4 linked regions of the Arabidopsis thaliana genome follow. The protein of the gene in region 4 interacts with the protein of the main gene of each other region in a pairwise test. Each region holds a gene or a part of one and is shown on either strand. Other genes may lie near its edges.

Region 1 (4,531 bases), on a different chromosome or scaffold from region 4:
TGTGTATGAATCTTGTCTTTCATTTTTTCAGATGTTGCATTTGATTACATCGAGCAGGCTCTTTCCAAATTCAATGAAGGGCCTTTCTTTCTTGGTCAATTTAGTTTGGTATTGTCGATTATATTTCTATATTCAATTTGCCATACCCATATCAACTCTTGCTGCTGAGAAAAAAAATGGTGTTTATTTCTATAGGTTGATGTTGCATATGCTCCTTTCATAGAGAGATTTCGGCTTATCTTAAGTGATGTGATGAACGTCGATATTACATCTGGTCGGCCTAACCTTGCCCTTTGGATTCAGGTTAAGCTATTACCTAGACATTTGTAACTACCTTTCATTCTAAGGCTAAATATTCCCCATACACATGCTAATCTCTGGTTCTTTGCTTTTATGCAGGAGATGAACAAAATCGAAGCTTACACCGAAACCCGTCAAGATCCACAAGAGCTTGTTGAAAGATACAAGAGACGAGTCCAAGCAGAAGCACGTCTCTAACCAGATGGTTCTCCGGATATCTCCATTTACAAGGGTTTAGAAGGATCAAATGGGAAGAGATATTGTAACCAAAGTTTTTTATATATATAAATTATATTGTATCGGTAAAAGCATCTACATGACATGCAACAATTGTTTTCATTTATATCAGAATTCATGAGACCAAGTCTTCGACTAGAACGAAATTGCGCCTGCTGCTTTTCCATCATTGCCCATAAGATCGTGCTTGCTGCTTCATTAAAATTCGGTGCTAGCCGGAGCAATGTGATTCAGAGATATTATACAAAACCAAACCAAGTAGAGTACGACCCCAGTGCCCAAAGTTGAAAACAGAACTAAAGCATCATATAAGAGTCTTATAGTGCTTGCCCAACTAATTTCATTTGTATCCAGAGAGAAATTAGTCAGCTTTCTTCAAGAAGAAGAGAGGTAAATCTTCCATTCTATGTGTATATACTGAATGCAAAAAGCCCGAAAAAAGAGTTTTTTGTTGCTACTTCTTTAGCAGTACTCTCCATATCTTCCTCATATAAACAACTAAAGACCATATAGAGAGCCCTGCAGATACATAGAGCAACCCAATACCCGACGGTAATAGTCTCTCAAAACTGCTATCCCGGCTTGCAAGAAGTATGGTTAGCGCTATCATCTGCGTTGCAGTTTTCCACTTTCCCAAGCTATTTACAGCAACAGCCTAGCAACATCAATGCCATTTCCATGGATTAGGAAAGGAACACTTACGAAAACAGATCCAAGAGAACGCACATGATGGTGATAACTTTACCTCTGAAAGCTTGCCGTTTTGAGATGCAGCCCATTCTCTTACTGCAGACATAGTAATCTACAGTGAAAAGTATACCGACTAGTTTAGAACAGAAAGCTGATAAGTGAAACTTACTTAACGGTATATCAGAATTCTGTATCTTACCTCTCTACCAATGATGGCGATTGAAGGTACTGTCACTAACCATGGAACTGGTCCTAAGACAACGGCGACCATTGGTTTAGTGCACAACAATATCAATGTAGCTGCTACCATAAGCGCATACCAATGACATAAATCAGAATGATAAAAATCATTCCTTTCTGGTGGAGAAAAGATAAAGAGGATAGAGGTAGCTAAGGAAGAAGGTATCTGACCTTATCTGCCACTGGATCCAAAAATGCACCAAATTCAGAACCCAATCTCATCTGAAAAGGCACGTCTCACTGTTAAAAGCTTACAATTTCAACTATGCAGAAGAACATGAAAGGGTAAAGAAAGAAGTTACCTTCCGTGCAATATATCCATCAAGCCAATCTGTAATGGCTGCTGCAATGAAAATACTTGTCGTAGCAGTTCTTCCCCACCAGCAATCAACGTAAAAGGCTACATTTCAAAAACCAAAGGAGATGATGAAGATAATGCAATGGGAGATAAAACAATCAAAATCAGGAATTGAACATCAAAAGATCCAATTCAGATTAAATTTGAAGAGTGGTAACAAGTGAAGTACACATAGCAATAAGCTCAATTTCAAAAAAGTTGTCGAATTTCTCGAATTCAAACCAACAAAACTCTGATCTGGAAAAATCGCAATTGCATCTTCGTTTAGATCTGATGATTAGACTCCTATCACACACCGAACAAGTACAATGACTCCAACCAGAATTCAGAGTCGAAAAAAGTAAACTTACTGGCGACGAGAATCGGAACGGCAGCTACACGGCCAAGGGTTAATACGGTAGGCAATGTAATCACTTTAGAAGAAAGCTGTGTCGGTGAAGGCAATGGCGACGAATGACGATTACGAAGCAATGAATCTTTGCCACCACCGAAACTGTTCTGATCCACCGTCGCGGTGTCTTCTTCACCCATATCCTCCACAAGAGCTGATCTGTAAACCTGACGATCCGACAAAGAAGGAAGAGAAGCACGAAGAAGGGCGGTGGCGACACCGACCTGAATCCGGAACCCTAAGCCTTTATGGGAGTCACACAACGGCCAATAATAATGCAGCTTGGGAGAGATGCTAACGTGCGCTAACTATGAAAATAAGCGAGCCGGGTGCGTAACGTGCGCCGATAATCGTCGACTTTGGATTGATATGGACGATTGATAATGAAGCAAATGGCACGTTTTGGGCCTTCTCTTTAATTCTTAGCTGATTTTGATTTTATATATTTGTTAAAAATGTAAAACTAATATCTTCGTTGTATGTTTGCATGAATCAATATCATATAGCTACTTCCCACCAAAAAAAATATATCATATAGCTACTAATCTCAACTTATATTGTTCGATGGAGTCATCACTTTGATAGTTAATCTTCAACACCCATTCGCTACCTACAACCTTTTGCATGAGTTGATGTGTGTCAAATCCCAAGTCTCATTTCGTTGTAATGCCTTCTTTGGCCATTGCTCTTTTCTATTATGTGCTGCACTCTTCCTCTTACGTACGTTTGTGGTTCCATACTTCCATGATTGAATCTAAAACACTAACAAAAACTTGGTGCACATTTGGAAGATAATCATTGTGATAATGAACAACCATATAATCATTTGTGTTGGTTTACCCAAACCGACGAATATTTGGTTTTGTAAACAAGTGTTTGAGAACGTGAGAGTATTATAGAAACAAGAATTTAAGCTCCTTACTAGCCCCTAAACAAAACTCCAAATTATACACGTACGTATATAGGTAAATAAATATACAGTACACGAAATAGTAGATTATAATATTTAAACCATTGAATTGACTAAAGTTATAACTGTGTATATATTCAACTAGCCATTGGTGGATATTCTTCATAATTTCTCAAATCTGGATTTTCATATTTGTTTCATCTTCTATTGATTTTGCACCTAAAACTCTTAACACAATTATGTAAACCTCTCTTAAGTTTGCCAAGTGTGATTGAAAGGAAAAAAGAGTGAGACTATTAACTACATATATGAAAGTTCTATTAGAGTCAAACAATTAGTAACTAAAATAAGAATTCTAATTAATATATGATAGAAATTTCCCACTTGATTAAATTTAATATGGTGAATACTTAGATTATGGATTTAGCGAATCTAAGAAAAACTTATTAAAAAAAAATAAAAAAAAATTAAAGACATATTTAATTCCCTAGAAAAGTCCTTTACCAACTCCTAAAGCAATTGGTCCTTTACCGACAAATCGACAACCATTACAATCCCCACAATTATTTTCTTGCATATCTATCTTTTTAGGGTTAAAAATGAATCTCATCAATCAAAGATTTTGGTAAATGTGTTTAGTTTTTTTTTGAAGTTCGACTATTTGAGGTTAATAATTAAAGACCAACCATGGTCGCGCTACAAATTGAATACGGTATGGTAAACCATACGTTCACGCTTGTTACACATACATCAAATTAATAACGTTCGTACTTTAAACTGAATCTTATAAGGATGATACATGACGTAGATGTCCTTAATCCCATATCTAATAACAACTTTGTCTATCTTTCAAAGTAGGTTGATATAGACTCGCACAACCACACAAAAATTAGATATAAGGATATGATTTTTCTTTCATCAAATTGTCATTTTGGTCTTACAAATAAGATAATTAACTCAATCAAATTATCTGAAGATAAAATTGACATAGCAAAATATTGGAAGACAACTGTGAAATTCACATTTACATACAAAATCAGTAAGTAGTTAAAAAGATAGGAGTAAAAAAGATATACAAAAATGAGAGAAAGATGAAAGAGACCTTTTGGACTCAGTGTCAAGGAATCGAAACGCAGTCAAAATAGAGAGAGAGAGAGAGAGAGAGAGAGAGAGAGAGAGTCACACATGTAATAAACCTTGGTCGACAATCTCGCCCTTTCCATGTGATTTCTCCACTTCCTCTCTCTCTCTACTGCAACTTCCTCCTCCTGCTTCAACTTCATTCGGGTAATGATGAACTAGCGTAGAGATTTGGATCTTCTTCTTCGTCCTCTCACCAACTCTTCACCGGTTAGATCTCTTTTTCACGCTAACGAATGAGGAGCGTTGCCGCCGCCGCCGCTGC
Region 2 (3,351 bases), on a different chromosome or scaffold from region 4:
TCGTAACTTATTGAAAGCTCGACACAATAAAGCACAAGAAGTTCGATATCAAACATTTAAAAAGTCTCAAGCTTGAACACACAAACCTGTAGGTGAATAAAGTGGGTAGAGGAGATTTCTTAATAATGGTTTTTAGATCCTCAAGAGGATTGAAGTCCTTTAGCCAATCTAATCGAATTTCAACCAAGTCTGCACCCAATTCATGGGCTTTACTCGTTTCAATCACCATCTTGTCTATTGAATCCGCCATCACTGGAGCACAGATCAAGCTCGGATTCTTCACGATATCATGACTTCCGATCTCCATTTCCGTGGAATTTGAAGCCACCTGAGATCACAAAACAGGATAAATTCCACAATCAATTAAAAATCCAACTACTTCTCAGAACTAAACAAAAATTCTGAAGATCGATTCTAAATAGCTAAACCAATGTTGTACACGAAACATCAAAGTCTTCATCCAAAACTAATACCAAATTTATTTGAAGCGATAAATCTGCAAATTCATCATTACCTATCCTTCTCCAATAAAAACGGAACAGAAAACAACAAAAGAAAACTGAACTAAAGGAAGAATCACTAACATAGACATTGCTAGGTTCCATGCTTCGCCGGCGCCTTTGATCGGAAAATACCACCGGAAACGGTACACTCCTTAGCCGCGGGGACGAAGAATCGGCAAAGAAGCGAGTGGAGAAATCGGCGGCTGGAAAACGGAGATTGGCGACGGAGGTAGGTGAAAGTCGGGGTTTGGAGAGTAGACGAGGAGGGTTGGTGAGACGAGCATTAGTTGAAGAAGCTGCCATTGAGAGGCGACAAACAACAACGACCCTTTGCGGCTTTTTTTCACAACTTTTATTGGATTTCTAAATTTTGGTATTTTTAACGTTTTTATACGCTAAAAAATGGTAGGTGAAGTTTCGATTAGGCGCAAAAAAAAATTATTTATATCTCCTTTTCATTTTCTGATATTGACAATTATATATGTTTGTTTAAATCATCAAGAGAAAATTCGTTATCTGTAATCTGAAGTTAAGAATTATAGCAGAACAAATGACATCAACAATATGTGATTTTGTTCACACAAAAAAGAAAGTCAAACAAATAGAGGTCAGCAAGTTCTTGAGTCTTTAACTACACTGGTGGCCATTGTTGGGCATGCAATGTAGAAAACTCAGCACGTTTTGCACTACAATAGTGGGCTGCGTTTTTTGGGCCCATAGGAAGCCTCTTTAGTGGGCTCGAATTGCATAGCAAACTAAAGAACAATAAATAATAAATAATAATAATAATTCCCACACACCACAAAGCTTTTCTTAACTCGCCAATAAACTTTAGTACAAAAGACAACAAAATATTTGTTTAGGAACAACCCAATATAAAATGTGCTTTTTATTTGAACATCCAACGAGGCAACAACAAACGTAATTAGACCATCTCCATTGAAGGTATTTCATAAGAGTTTTTCACAATTAAAAAAATAAAAATAATGAAAATGAAGGAGAGAAAATGTAGAAAGTTTCTCACTTGAAAAATTTTGAGATATTCTCTACAACCCATCATGACAATTCTCATCTCACTATTGATTCAATTTTTTAACAAAATTACTTTTTTAATCAAATAATTAAATTATAATATAATATTAATATTTTTTTTGTTTTAGAAACTTTGTAGGTTTCTCATGGATGGAGATGCCTTTACTCGTACTTAGCAATATGTATAATTTGCATTAACATAATATTTTTCAGCAAAAAGTAAAGCACATGTTTATTCGAAAATATGTGCAATATATAAGAGCTTCTACTAAAAAGTGAAAACTCGATCTACGCCCATCTTCAAGAATTCAGCAAATATATTTTCTTTTCCACCGAACACATCCTTTAAATTGATAAATAATAATCTTTTTGGAAAAAGGTGAGACAAATTCCATTTAAAATCAATTTATAATATTTTACTATTAGAGCTAAAAGTTTTCTTTTATAGAGACAGTATCATTATTACAACACAAAATGCGCTCTCATCAGTTAAGGAAAAAAACAACTCAGCTTTGATTTGTTCATCATTACAGTAACCAAAAAAGATGGCTTCATCTATATTGCTAACACTCATCACCTTCATCTTTCTCTCCTCACTTTCTCTCTCTTCGCCGACGACAAATACAATCCCATCTTCGCAAACAATCTCTCCCTCTGAAGAAAAGATCTCACCGGAGATCGCTCCTCTCCTCCCTTCACCCGCCGTCTCCTCCACTCAAACCATCCCTTCTTCTTCAACACTTCCTGAACCAGAAAACGACGACGTTTCCGCAGATCCTGATCCCGCCTTCGCTCCATCGGCTTCTCCTCCGGCTTCATCTCTTGCTTCTCTGTCTTCTCAAGCTCCCGGAGTTTTCATCTACTTTGTCTTCGCCGCCGTCTATTGTTTCTCGCTCCGGCTTCTTGCCGTTTCAGCTATATAGGTCATTCATATATTTTAGACCACGTACGTCATTATTTTCATGAGTTTATTTGTCCCCTAAAAATAACGAATAAAATTAGATTTAGTTTGATTTTCAATTTTTTTTTACTATTTGTATTTTTTATTGTTCTCCACTTAACATTTTGTTACAGTTTTAGATTGGTTTAGATGAAAAACGCAAGTAATATATTACGTCAGAACCACATAATTGATGCATAATTAACTTAAGAACTCTGGATAAAAATAAAAATAAAAACTAATTTACCGTTAAGTGATTCAATACACTTTGAGGACTTATACTTTTCTCTTCTTTTCATTTCATTTGTTCGTTTACTATACACTAACTTTTTTTTTTTTTTTTATCGCTAAGCTAAAGAACCTTTTGAAAAAGTTGAAATTACGTTTCAAATTAAAGTGACGTCATATGCATGCTTTACAGTATACTGCAGTTTATAGTAGTATCAAAATCAAACGTTCCAAAAATTTGTACTGTTTACATGCAAATAACACTTGAGTAATTATATGTAGACTACTAATTAATTTCGACATAAGTTTATGTAAAACACCAGTTTTTTATGATTATTTTTGTCTTAATCTTGAGACGTGTTTATGAACTGAATGAATGTATTACTTTGTGAATTAACGTATTTAAGTATAGTGCATTATTGCATAATTCCTAAAATGCCACAAGGTTAGAGGCGCATGCATGTGAGTTACTGCATATGCTGGCCTCACGGCTAAAAGCAACAACAAAAAAAGGTGCCTTCTTTTCTTGTCCCACACTTTATCTTATTTCTGGGGTTTCAAAGTCTCAATATTAAAATTAATAATATCTAGGTGAGAAGAAATATGTAAAGGACGTTTCTTGTTTTCACATTATAGGGTTTTATGCGT
Region 3 (5,750 bases), on a different chromosome or scaffold from region 4:
ATTCTTAAATACTTTATCAAAATATGTTAGTTTTACAAAAGACCCTAAAATCTACCATCTACAAAAAATTAAATTCATTTTAATTATAAAGTCTAATATGTCATTAAATCGAGTTATATATTAGTTTATATATGAATTTATAAATTAATTTAAATTTTACAATTAAACAAAATTAAATTTCAGTTCGAATTTATAAAAAAAAACAGTTTGCGTTTATGTTTTACAACATAAAGAAATTAAATATCGGTTCGAATTTATACAAAAATATTAAAATTTGATTTTATAGTTAAACGAGATTATTTATTAATTTAATATTTTGTAATTTTGTCTTGTTGATAATTTTTTTTTTTTTTTTCACATGATAATATTGTCTCCCGCAGTCAAATTATTAGGTTTTTCCCTGTGATATGAGTATTCGCTTTCTAAAGATGATATCATGATTAGCCTTTGTAAACATTTCTCTTCATGGGGAGAGGTCACTGATATTATGATTCTTGATGAAGGTAGCGACAGGTTTGTCGCTTCTTCTTCCTCCAATTTTCCCAACTCTCTCAATCTATTTTCATATTATTCAAAAACATTTGTCCGTAACATGTGTTCAAAAATGAGTAACAAAATATATTGTTCAATGTTCAGTTACAAAGCTATATAGAACATTTTATTGTTACTAATAGAGTGCTCCTAATCTCGATCAACACAAACACATTCTACAAAGAGCTAATCATATTAATTAAATCATCGTTTCCAATATTCTTGTAAATCTATATTCGGTCGTCTATGTTTTCGTCTAGAAGAGGAGTTTCCTCTGACAGCGACAAGAACTGAGTCTTCCCTTCTTTTGCTTTTCCCCACATCACAGTGTAAAACCCTAACGATATCAAAATCCCTCCGACCAAACTGCAACATTAACCACATAACAAGAAACCATTAGATTAGATGTGTGGTTTTTCTTGTTTCACAAACAAGTGTGTCTGAAGATTATTGATTCATATATACATATACCTTCCTAGGTAAAAAGAATCTCCAAGAAAAATCGCTCCCATAATCACTGCTATTAAAATCGATAAAGGTCTGAATATAGCTAAGTAAACAGGTCCTTTATTACGTACTGCCCACAGATGAATCGCGTAATATCCTGGATTAAATATTCCCTGCGAAAAATAGCTATAGTATTGAAAAGAAGTTTAAGATATAATTAAGTTTTCTAAAATATTAAAATTTACGTACCCCAACAACTATGCAAACTAATGTAATGTCAAAATGAATGATCCATATGCTCGGATTGTTCTTTTCTGCTACGATTCCGATCAATGACGTCAAGATTGAAGCAATCAGAAAATAGAAGAAAGAGACCGTGAATGGTGCTGGATATAACTTCATTATATGTGCCTGTCCAATTCAATATTAATCTACTATAAGGAAAATTTAGTTTATGTACATGCAAGTATGTATGATGTATCAAGTTAAGAGAATTAATATGTTATTACTTGAAGAATAAAAGCAACAGGAACGAGGGTGTCTTTGATGGCTAAAAGACAACCACCGATGATCCAATCCGAGTTTGAGGATGATAACGGCAAAAGAAGCTGACGGAGTTGTGGAAATGGTGGAGAAGATGGGGTGAAGACTCGTGGACCATGGTAGAGAACTACCACAAGTGCGCCAACTAGTGAAACTATTGTCCCAACCATTTTGGCTACACTACTCTTTTCTTTGAAAGATGCTTTCTCCATTCTATTTTTTTGTTTCACAAATAGAAAACATGATAAATATTTAAATGATCAAATATTTTGCTAAATGGAAAAAGCAATTCATTTTAATCATACAAATGAAAATTTTCAAAATTGCTATCACCTATGAAATTTGTAATAAAACTTGACACAGTAATAAATAAAAATAATTTTAAAAATGTAGTTATTTCCACTTCTCTTAAACAAATATATATTTAATACATTAAAGAATAATAGAAACTCACAAACTTTTTTTTTTAATCATCCCAAAAGATGTTTTGAGACATTGTGTTTTTGTGGTTCGGTTCTCAGAATAGCCCCATTAAAAAAAATTGTGGTGGATTTATTGTGTACTCTAAATTAAGAGGAAAGATTTGGTATTTCTGGATTTTTAGTTGTCTTTCCGGGTTTCGCACCTAAAATTATATGGTAGGCTTTCACTCTCTCGAGTTTTGTTTTTGTACTTAAATTTTAAATAATTAAAAATGAAAAGGATTAGGTTTTACAAAAATGTATAACTACAAAACTGGGATTTTTGTGGTTTGTTTTGTTCTAGTTTCTCCAAGAACCGATAAACATTGTGACTACTACTTAAATCAATAATACTGTATAATAAATAAGGGTACCATATATATGTGCTCTAGCCTCCATGTTCCTATATGTTCAAGATTATAATGTGTTTCGGGGCTCATATGGCCTCCTCTGTATCTCACAAAAGAAACGACTTAGTTAGGCATTTTTTGAAAATGCGATTATTATAAAGTTCAAAACTTAAATTTAAGTTTTGATTTATTTTTTGAAAATGGATCCGCAAAATTTAAATATTGTTCTGTAAGTAGTTAAAATCGGTTCAAAACTTCCAAACTGATCAATTTCAGGAAAAAAACAAACCTCAAACTTTCTTTTGATCATACCAAACCTTCTTCTGATAAATAAAAATTCTGAAATTCTTTATACATCAAATTGATTAAAATCAAAGTAAAATATTAGTGTTACAAAAACCTAAAAAATTGTTTTTATTTAGAACATCACAAATAGGACCTGATGTTACATTATAGCTAATGTCCATTTTAAAAATATGAACCTGACTAACATGTGCCACACAATTATTCCTGTCATTTTTTTTGTCGTTATTTATTCCTGTCATTTTCCTGAACCTGATGTAGATCTAACAATATATAATTAAACTTTGAAAAACTGCTATCGAAATTCTGAATTTAATTATTAAACATGTAAATTAAGTACAAAATTTATTTATTTATTTTACAAACTGATGATTCAAGTGTCTTATCTGTGTTAATCTACAAAACAGCTCACCTTTATTAAATAATCATATCTGTGTTATCTGAATTAATATTCTCTTTATAAAACTAACCCAAAAAATCATGGATTAAATACTAATTAACAATTAAATACTTATTAACGAGAAACAAAAGTTTTTATATTTTTTTTTGTTAATAGGTAGAAAATTTCTGACGTTACTAATTAACAATTCATAATTGTAAGAAAAAAAGGTAAATGGATTAAAATAAAACCTGAAGATAATGGCAAGGATGAAGGTAATGGCAGGATTGATATTGCTAATGGCTGAAGCTAAGGTTGGGTTGCTGTATTCGATGCCTATGAATCCTGTGATCAGATACGTTGACCTGTTCATTTATATTCACATTTAGCAAAAAGTAAAGTATATTAGAAACATTTTCAGGTTAATAAAAATTTCTTTACCAACAATTAGGAAAATAATTACATTCAAAAGTTGAAGAAGAACAAGAAGTGTAGTTGGCTTTACCCTAGCAGCCCAAGAACTCCAATTTTACAGAGAATTGAAAGACTTAGTGAAGGAAGTGATCTTGACCTGCAAAAGAATGCACAAGTAATCAAATGAAAACTTTTGACAAAACAAGAATCAATCAAACAGGGTTTATTAACTAACAAAAAGATTGTTATTTAGAAACCTATAAGAGAAGATGTGAGAAGGAAGAAGAACAATAGAGCCAATGAGATAAGAATAGATGAGGAAGGTATAAGAATTAAGGCCTTTTGAAGTCGCTGCTTTAAACAAAGTATTCATAGCCACATTTCCGGTTTCAGTCGCCAACATGGCCGTCAATAACACGGCGTCTCTCCGACGGAGAGTAATGGAGGCCATTGTCGGCAAGTCAAAAGATATAAAGCTTAGTGTGTGGAATGACTCATGATAAAAATCCAGGAGAGTATTTTGTATATCTTGTGACCAAAATGATGATTAAGTCTCAAAAATAATTGAAATTTTGGTGGGCCATTCTATCATTTGGTCTCTCCTTGTTATACGTGAAATGATAATTTGGATATTTAAATTTGCCTATGCTTATTGGACTTTCTCAAGTGTGGTTTTTCTTTTAACTCTCTTGGAATTGAGAAGTCGTGTTCACAAATTCCGACCAAATGGCCAAAGATTTTATCAATTATAAAACCTCGAGTGTTTTTGTAACGCTTGAAGATGGACAAACTCTTAAACAAAGCGTTCCTCACAAATACACAATGGATTAAAAAAAAAAAATGAGAGAGATACAGAAACTGTTCTCAAACAAGAGACATATAATGTCAACTTTTATTTTCTATATAATAAGTTAAAGGTCATATCTATAAATATTTACTAAAGAAAATTTCACCGTTAACACTTTTCTCAGTTTTTTTTTCACGAAGAGGTAAAGTGGATTGAGCCAACCAGCTTTTAGCCACTTGGGCTTAATTGGACGAATCTGCCCTGGAACGAGAAATGAAAGAAAACTGTTCAGTTTCGTTCCTTTGTATTCTGGTTACGGAAATAATTTTAAATCTTTAAAATTAAATAAATAAAAATGTAAATAATTTTAAAACTTAAAATAAAATCAAAAACTGTCTTCGAGAAACGCAGAACAGTTTCGACGAACTCCGTATTCGAAGACGCATAAAAATTCCGACAAAACTTAAACCCAATTCCGATTGAGGCTCTGTTCGAGTTCGAGTCTTTGCTTGAGTGGAGAAAATTTCGATCGAGTTCGTTTTAAAGTGTCTAACAAAAAGAGGATTTTCTGGTTATCATACTAAAATGGCAGAGATGAAGAAGAGTAGTCGGCGGCGAGGAGTTTCGGAAGTTAATGTATCATCGTCGGCGACGACAATTATGGGTAAGGGTAAGAGGTTGAAGAAGAGTGCAAAATTAAAATTGCAGAGGTTGAAGAAGAGTGCAAAATTAGGGTTGCAGAGGTTGAAGACGAATGCAAAATTATAATTATACCCTTCAATAAATTTCTTATGTGTACGTATATGTAATTTACGGTGTACGTACATGTGGACATGTAAATATAATAGATTATGTTTTATTGTTAAAGCGGTATACACAATTATATATTGAGTTTGTACATTATAAATCTTTGTTTTTTTTTTTTGTTTTTTTTTTGTCAACCGATATTAATATAGACTCAAACGAGCCAATCCCGAGAGATATTGTTTACATATGTGACATGGTACGGCTTTGGTTATTTTGATTAGATGAGATATTTCCGGAGTTTTCTCCATAAAATCTATGCATATATAATAATTAAGTAAAAATATATAGTCAAAGTATAGATATTCTTAATACTTTTGAAAAATGATGTACGTACATCTTTTCATGAGTTAAAATTGTTGAGATATATTTATTGATACAATAATAAACCAATATTGACGATGGTGAGGGTATATTCTACTATAGTCCTACTAGAGATGAAGACATTGTTATTTACAATATTGACGAATTTTTGTAATGTTTGGTATCTACGATGGTGCATACGGCGAGTTAGCCAAATGTTATGTATTTAGTACGATATATATGATATTTTTTGTTTTGATGTTGTTGTTTCTATTTAATTGTTATTTTGACATTCTTTAGTAAGCGTTATGTTATACGATATTATTTGTTGAGAATAGGTAAGATTTAAAACTAAACCCGTAGACGTACACGATAATATTGAGATACACGTACACGTGTATGACCTCTCCAAACATTTATATCCTAAG
Region 4 (3,808 bases):
ATCGAATATCGTAGCTACACTAAAAAATCAAACATATTAAATTATTGAAAGTTGAAGATATCACATTGACAAATGAAGTAAATAAAATAAAGTTAAATTCAGATGGTTTAGAAAAAGGAAAAAAAAAAAAGAAAAAGGAGCAGTGTAATTACCAAAGACCTTGGTATAACCATTAGACTTTATCATGCTTACATTGTTATGGGGAAAATGTCTTTGGTTGTTGAAAACAAAACAAGTTTATGGTTTTCTTGATTCACGTCGATCAGACACGTGTCAATTTATTGTGGAATTTTGTGGTCTTATGTTTTGTACTTAGTACGGGCATACTTTTTGGCATTTTCTCGATTATCAAACTATAAAGCCAGAGATTAAAAATCTCCACACACAAAAAAAAAAAAAAAAAAAAAAAAAAGTTGTGAATTCAGGTGAGAAACGTATCCACTGAAACAAAAATACCATATTGTTGGTATATTGAATTAGTAGATAACCTATGTCTTTTTAATATTATTCTAACTTCGGTTCACAATCAGGTAATGTTTACTCGTTGATTGAAAATATTGAGAAGGCAAATTTTGTCTAATTATACATGAAAACTAGACAAATTGGATGAAGAAGATGACTAATTTTCATGAAATATGGTAATATATAGTAGTAATCTCAATGATATTGAAACCCACTCTTTATTTTGCAACCGAATAATCATATATTGAAACTCAATACTAATCACAAGTATAAGACGTTTATAATGACTTGAAAACAAGTCCTTATTCTCACAAATAATCAAATACATGACTATTTAAATAAGGAGAGTAAGGTAAAACAAATACATAACTAGGTTTCGAGTGTGACTCAAAAGAGAGCAACAACAGCAGAAACAAAAGCGACCAGAAAAGTAGCACCACCTAATGAGGAAGCGGCATTTCCAGCTGGAGTAGTGGTTCCGCTAGAGCCTGAAGGTGTTGTGGTCCCACCCGCAGTGGGAGGAGTGGTTCCTCCAGTACTTGGGGTTGATCCAGGTGCTGGGGTAGCACCGGCACCAGGAGTAGCACCTCCAGTTGCACCAGCAGCAACTACAGTGATGGAAAGTTTTTGACCAAAACGACAATGGTCACCGACGGTGCAGATAAAGTATTGTGGTCCAGTGGTGTTTAGCATAATTTTGACCGGAGGAACGGTCATGTGGCTAATGGGTTTCTCTTTCTCACAGTTTTCAAATGCAGCTTCTGATACAACTGCCACATCATGCCTCCCAGCAGCGAAATCAAATTCTGTAATAAGAATATCAACATCAGTCGGTGGAAACTCAATTAATCCCTTTTTTAGCTAAAATATGTTCATAAGAATATAGAAAGAAAGACAGAACAACACCGACATGATCCATGCACGATCCCATAACTATGACTGTTATAAGAACAAGAAAAACAAAGACATATTTCAGCTATAAGAACAATAAAACTCACCGAGCTCGTCGCCTACACGGAAAGTTTTACCGGTAGCCCAAGTAGTATAGAACTCGGGGTCCATAGGTCTCGTCCATTCCGTATCATCACCAACATCGTAGTCCTCCGCGAAGACAACAACGGCAGCGAAAACCAAAACAAGAAACGTAACCGTTTTGAAAACTCCGGCCATTATGTTATGTGTTGAAGAACTCAGGTCACCCCCTTTTCTTTTCTTGGTCGAGAACTATATATGTCGTCTCTTAAAAGATAGTAAATGACCCCTTTTGATTTTTGTGTTTGTTGTGGTTTCAAAAGTCTTGCAAGAGAGACTTATATTTATAGGACAATTAAAGAGAGGCTCTCAAGGAGTCATACGCAAGATACGGGAAGACGCGTTACGTGTTGTGTCGTTGAACAAATCCAAATTTAGATATTATCACTTGTGGTCAATTTTGTCTGCTAAGTTTTTTTTGTCCACAATTGTTATTTTTAGCGCGTAAAGACATTGTACATTTGTAAATTTAGATCAAGTAAAAAACGTGACTAATTACTTTTTGGGTAATGATTATAAAATTTAGTGTTCAGACTAAATATAACTACCTAATAATAACCATCCGATATTAAGGCATCGAAGAATAGTAGCATACTAATGTTAGAAAAAACAAAGTGTTAAATGTGGATATGGATGAGATATTAGGTGTTTATAGCATTTATATGGATAAGTCGATAATTGTTCAGAAATTTCTAGGCTCGATTGTCTTTCTTTGCATGGGTCCGTTGTACCAATTCAGGTCGTATTCAAGAAAAATCAACCCAACAAGTATATATACTTGCACGTAAACGAATGCGGTCATAACCCGAAACCAAAAGCGGTCAAACTCACTTCAGTTTTTGTTTGAGTTTAGATAGTTCAAAAAAGACCAATCGGGACTCAAGTGATTGGTCCGATTATAAACCCGAAATATCCATCCGCTAAAAAGGACTTGTCAGTGATTGGTTATTTCAGCTTCAATAGCAAAACCAAGCCTAACCAAATAAACAGGTTCAAGAACCTTCTTGCTCTAAACAAGAATCACTGTCTGAAACTTGTTTACTTGGACAGGTTCTTACATTATGTCCCATTTTCTTGCAGAACCCACAAGCATACGTTATTTTACCAACACCATCTTCCCCGGAATTTTCACCACTGCAACTAGGATTCACTCCGGTCGGCTTCCGGCATGTTCTGCTGTTGTGACCTCTCTCACCGCATATTCCACATTTGTGATACCTAGTGGAAATGCCTTTAGTGACTATTGATTTCGACTTAGGACAAGTTCTACGGTTGTGGCCTTTCCCGCCGCAACCCCGACATCTAAATTTTCTGTCCGCATTAGTGCCTAGTTCTGGACAGTAATGGCGTCTATGGCCTTCCTGTCCACAGTTCTTGCAGTAAAACTTAGTTCCTGAATCAATGAGAGAAAAATGGTTCTTTTACCATTTCATAGCTTGCACATGGAACTGTCACCACAAAAGGAAATCAAATCGAAACCTACATTTCTACACTTCGAATCAACATTATATCTCAACTTTAAGTGACAAGCCTCAACCTAATTCATCACAGTGATCTCACATTATTGGAGAATGTAAACAGATAAAGCTCAAGAAACAAAAGAGTACTACATGGACCTAAACTCTGAAATTCTACCAAGAAACTGAGACTTACCTTTCATAGATAGGCTTCTCTGTTCACGGTTTACAGGGTTACTGAAGAAAGCTTTCATAGATTCGGATGCATGCTTTCTAGCAGCTGGTGTTCCTTTAGCTTTCTAGAACACAACAACACTAAGCAGATTCAAGGGAAAAAAACAACAAAACTTGTTCCATGTTAATTTAGGATATAAAACAAAATGGAGTAGATTACAGACCTTAATTGCAGCTACTCTTTGAGCATGAAGCACTGGATCACGATGTATAATCTTCATGCGCTTACTAAAAAGTCCAGTTTTGGCATTGAGACTCTATAAAAACCATAATTTGGACTGACTATGACAATTTCCCATGGAGAGAGTAGAATAACATGAAGTGTATATGAATGAAACTAACTTTTAGAGATCGGCTGATCTTTTGTCCAACTTCAGGAGTTGGTGACTGATAAATCCGCTTCGATTTTCGCCTTTTACTGAACTTTATCTCTAAATTATCAACCTCATCATCCTCCTTTACTCTAAATGGAGAACTGTGGCAGAAAAAAATGAGGTTTATTAGTCAAACATTAAACAGAATTAAGACTTCAACTCTTGAATAACAACACTACCTGGATCTAGCTTTCTCCCAAGGTCGTTCATCGATTGATTCTTCCCATATGACACAATCCCCCAAACATC

The links.
Region 1: the proteins of BCB (region 4) and PGPS2 interact in a protein complementation assay, tested with the Arabidopsis thaliana proteins (one large-scale study listed by BioGRID).
Region 2: the proteins of BCB (region 4) and AGP27 interact in a protein complementation assay, tested with the Arabidopsis thaliana proteins (one large-scale study listed by BioGRID).
Region 3: the proteins of BCB (region 4) and UMAMIT44 interact in a protein complementation assay, tested with the Arabidopsis thaliana proteins (one large-scale study listed by BioGRID).

What each region holds. Positions count from the first base shown.
Region 1 is NC_003074.8:20,394,685-20,399,215, reverse strand, and holds PGPS2 (phosphatidylglycerolphosphate synthase 2), read right to left. Parts: upstream 2,620-4,531; 5' UTR 2,357-2,619; coding exon 2,176-2,356; intron 1,868-2,175; coding exon 1,770-1,867; intron 1,690-1,769; coding exon 1,639-1,689; intron 1,541-1,638; coding exon 1,427-1,540; intron 1,340-1,426; coding exon 1,283-1,339; intron 1,193-1,282; coding exon 992-1,192; 3' UTR 563-991; downstream 1-562. Other genes in the region: GSTL2 (glutathione transferase lambda 2), read left to right, coding at 32-108, 196-303, 400-498; AT3G55020 (Ypt/Rab-GAP domain of gyp1p superfamily protein), read left to right, coding at 4,503-4,531. UniProt on the Arabidopsis thaliana protein: Catalyzes the committed step to the synthesis of the acidic phospholipids, including phosphatidylglycerol (PG). Together with PGPS1, required for the proper embryo development by providing PG accurate levels.
Region 2 is NC_003074.8:1,926,896-1,930,246, forward strand, and holds AGP27 (arabinogalactan protein 27), read left to right. Parts: upstream 1-1,972; 5' UTR 1,973-2,080; coding exon 2,081-2,458; 3' UTR 2,459-2,789; downstream 2,790-3,351. Other genes in the region: MEE32 (dehydroquinate dehydratase, putative / shikimate dehydrogenase), read right to left, coding at 87-328, 585-806. UniProt on the Arabidopsis thaliana protein: Proteoglycan that seems to be implicated in diverse developmental roles such as differentiation, cell-cell recognition, embryogenesis and programmed cell death.
Region 3 is NC_003074.8:10,463,716-10,469,465, reverse strand, and holds UMAMIT44 (nodulin MtN21 /EamA-like transporter family protein), read right to left. Parts: upstream 4,207-5,750; 5' UTR 3,880-4,206; coding exon 3,686-3,879; exon of another isoform or gene 3,586-3,685; coding exon 3,520-3,585; exon of another isoform or gene 3,480-3,519; coding exon of another isoform or gene 3,478-3,479; intron 3,380-3,477; coding exon 3,266-3,379; intron 1,735-3,265; coding exon 1,488-1,734; intron 1,410-1,487; coding exon of another isoform or gene 1,390-1,409; coding exon 1,228-1,389; coding exon of another isoform or gene 1,213-1,227; exon of another isoform or gene 1,152-1,212; coding exon 1,003-1,151; intron 898-1,002; coding exon 762-897; 3' UTR 544-761; downstream 1-543. Other genes in the region: AT3G28120 (uncharacterized protein), read left to right, coding at 5,497-5,622.
Region 4 is NC_003076.8:6,824,450-6,828,257, reverse strand, and holds BCB (blue-copper-binding protein), read right to left. Parts: upstream 1,894-3,808; 5' UTR 1,633-1,893; coding exon 1,461-1,632; intron 1,269-1,460; coding exon 850-1,268; 3' UTR 510-849; downstream 1-509. Other genes in the region: AT5G20220 (zinc knuckle (CCHC-type) family protein), read right to left, coding at 2,487-2,887, 3,148-3,250, 3,350-3,442, 3,528-3,660, 3,739-3,808. UniProt on the Arabidopsis thaliana protein: Probably acts as an electron carrier.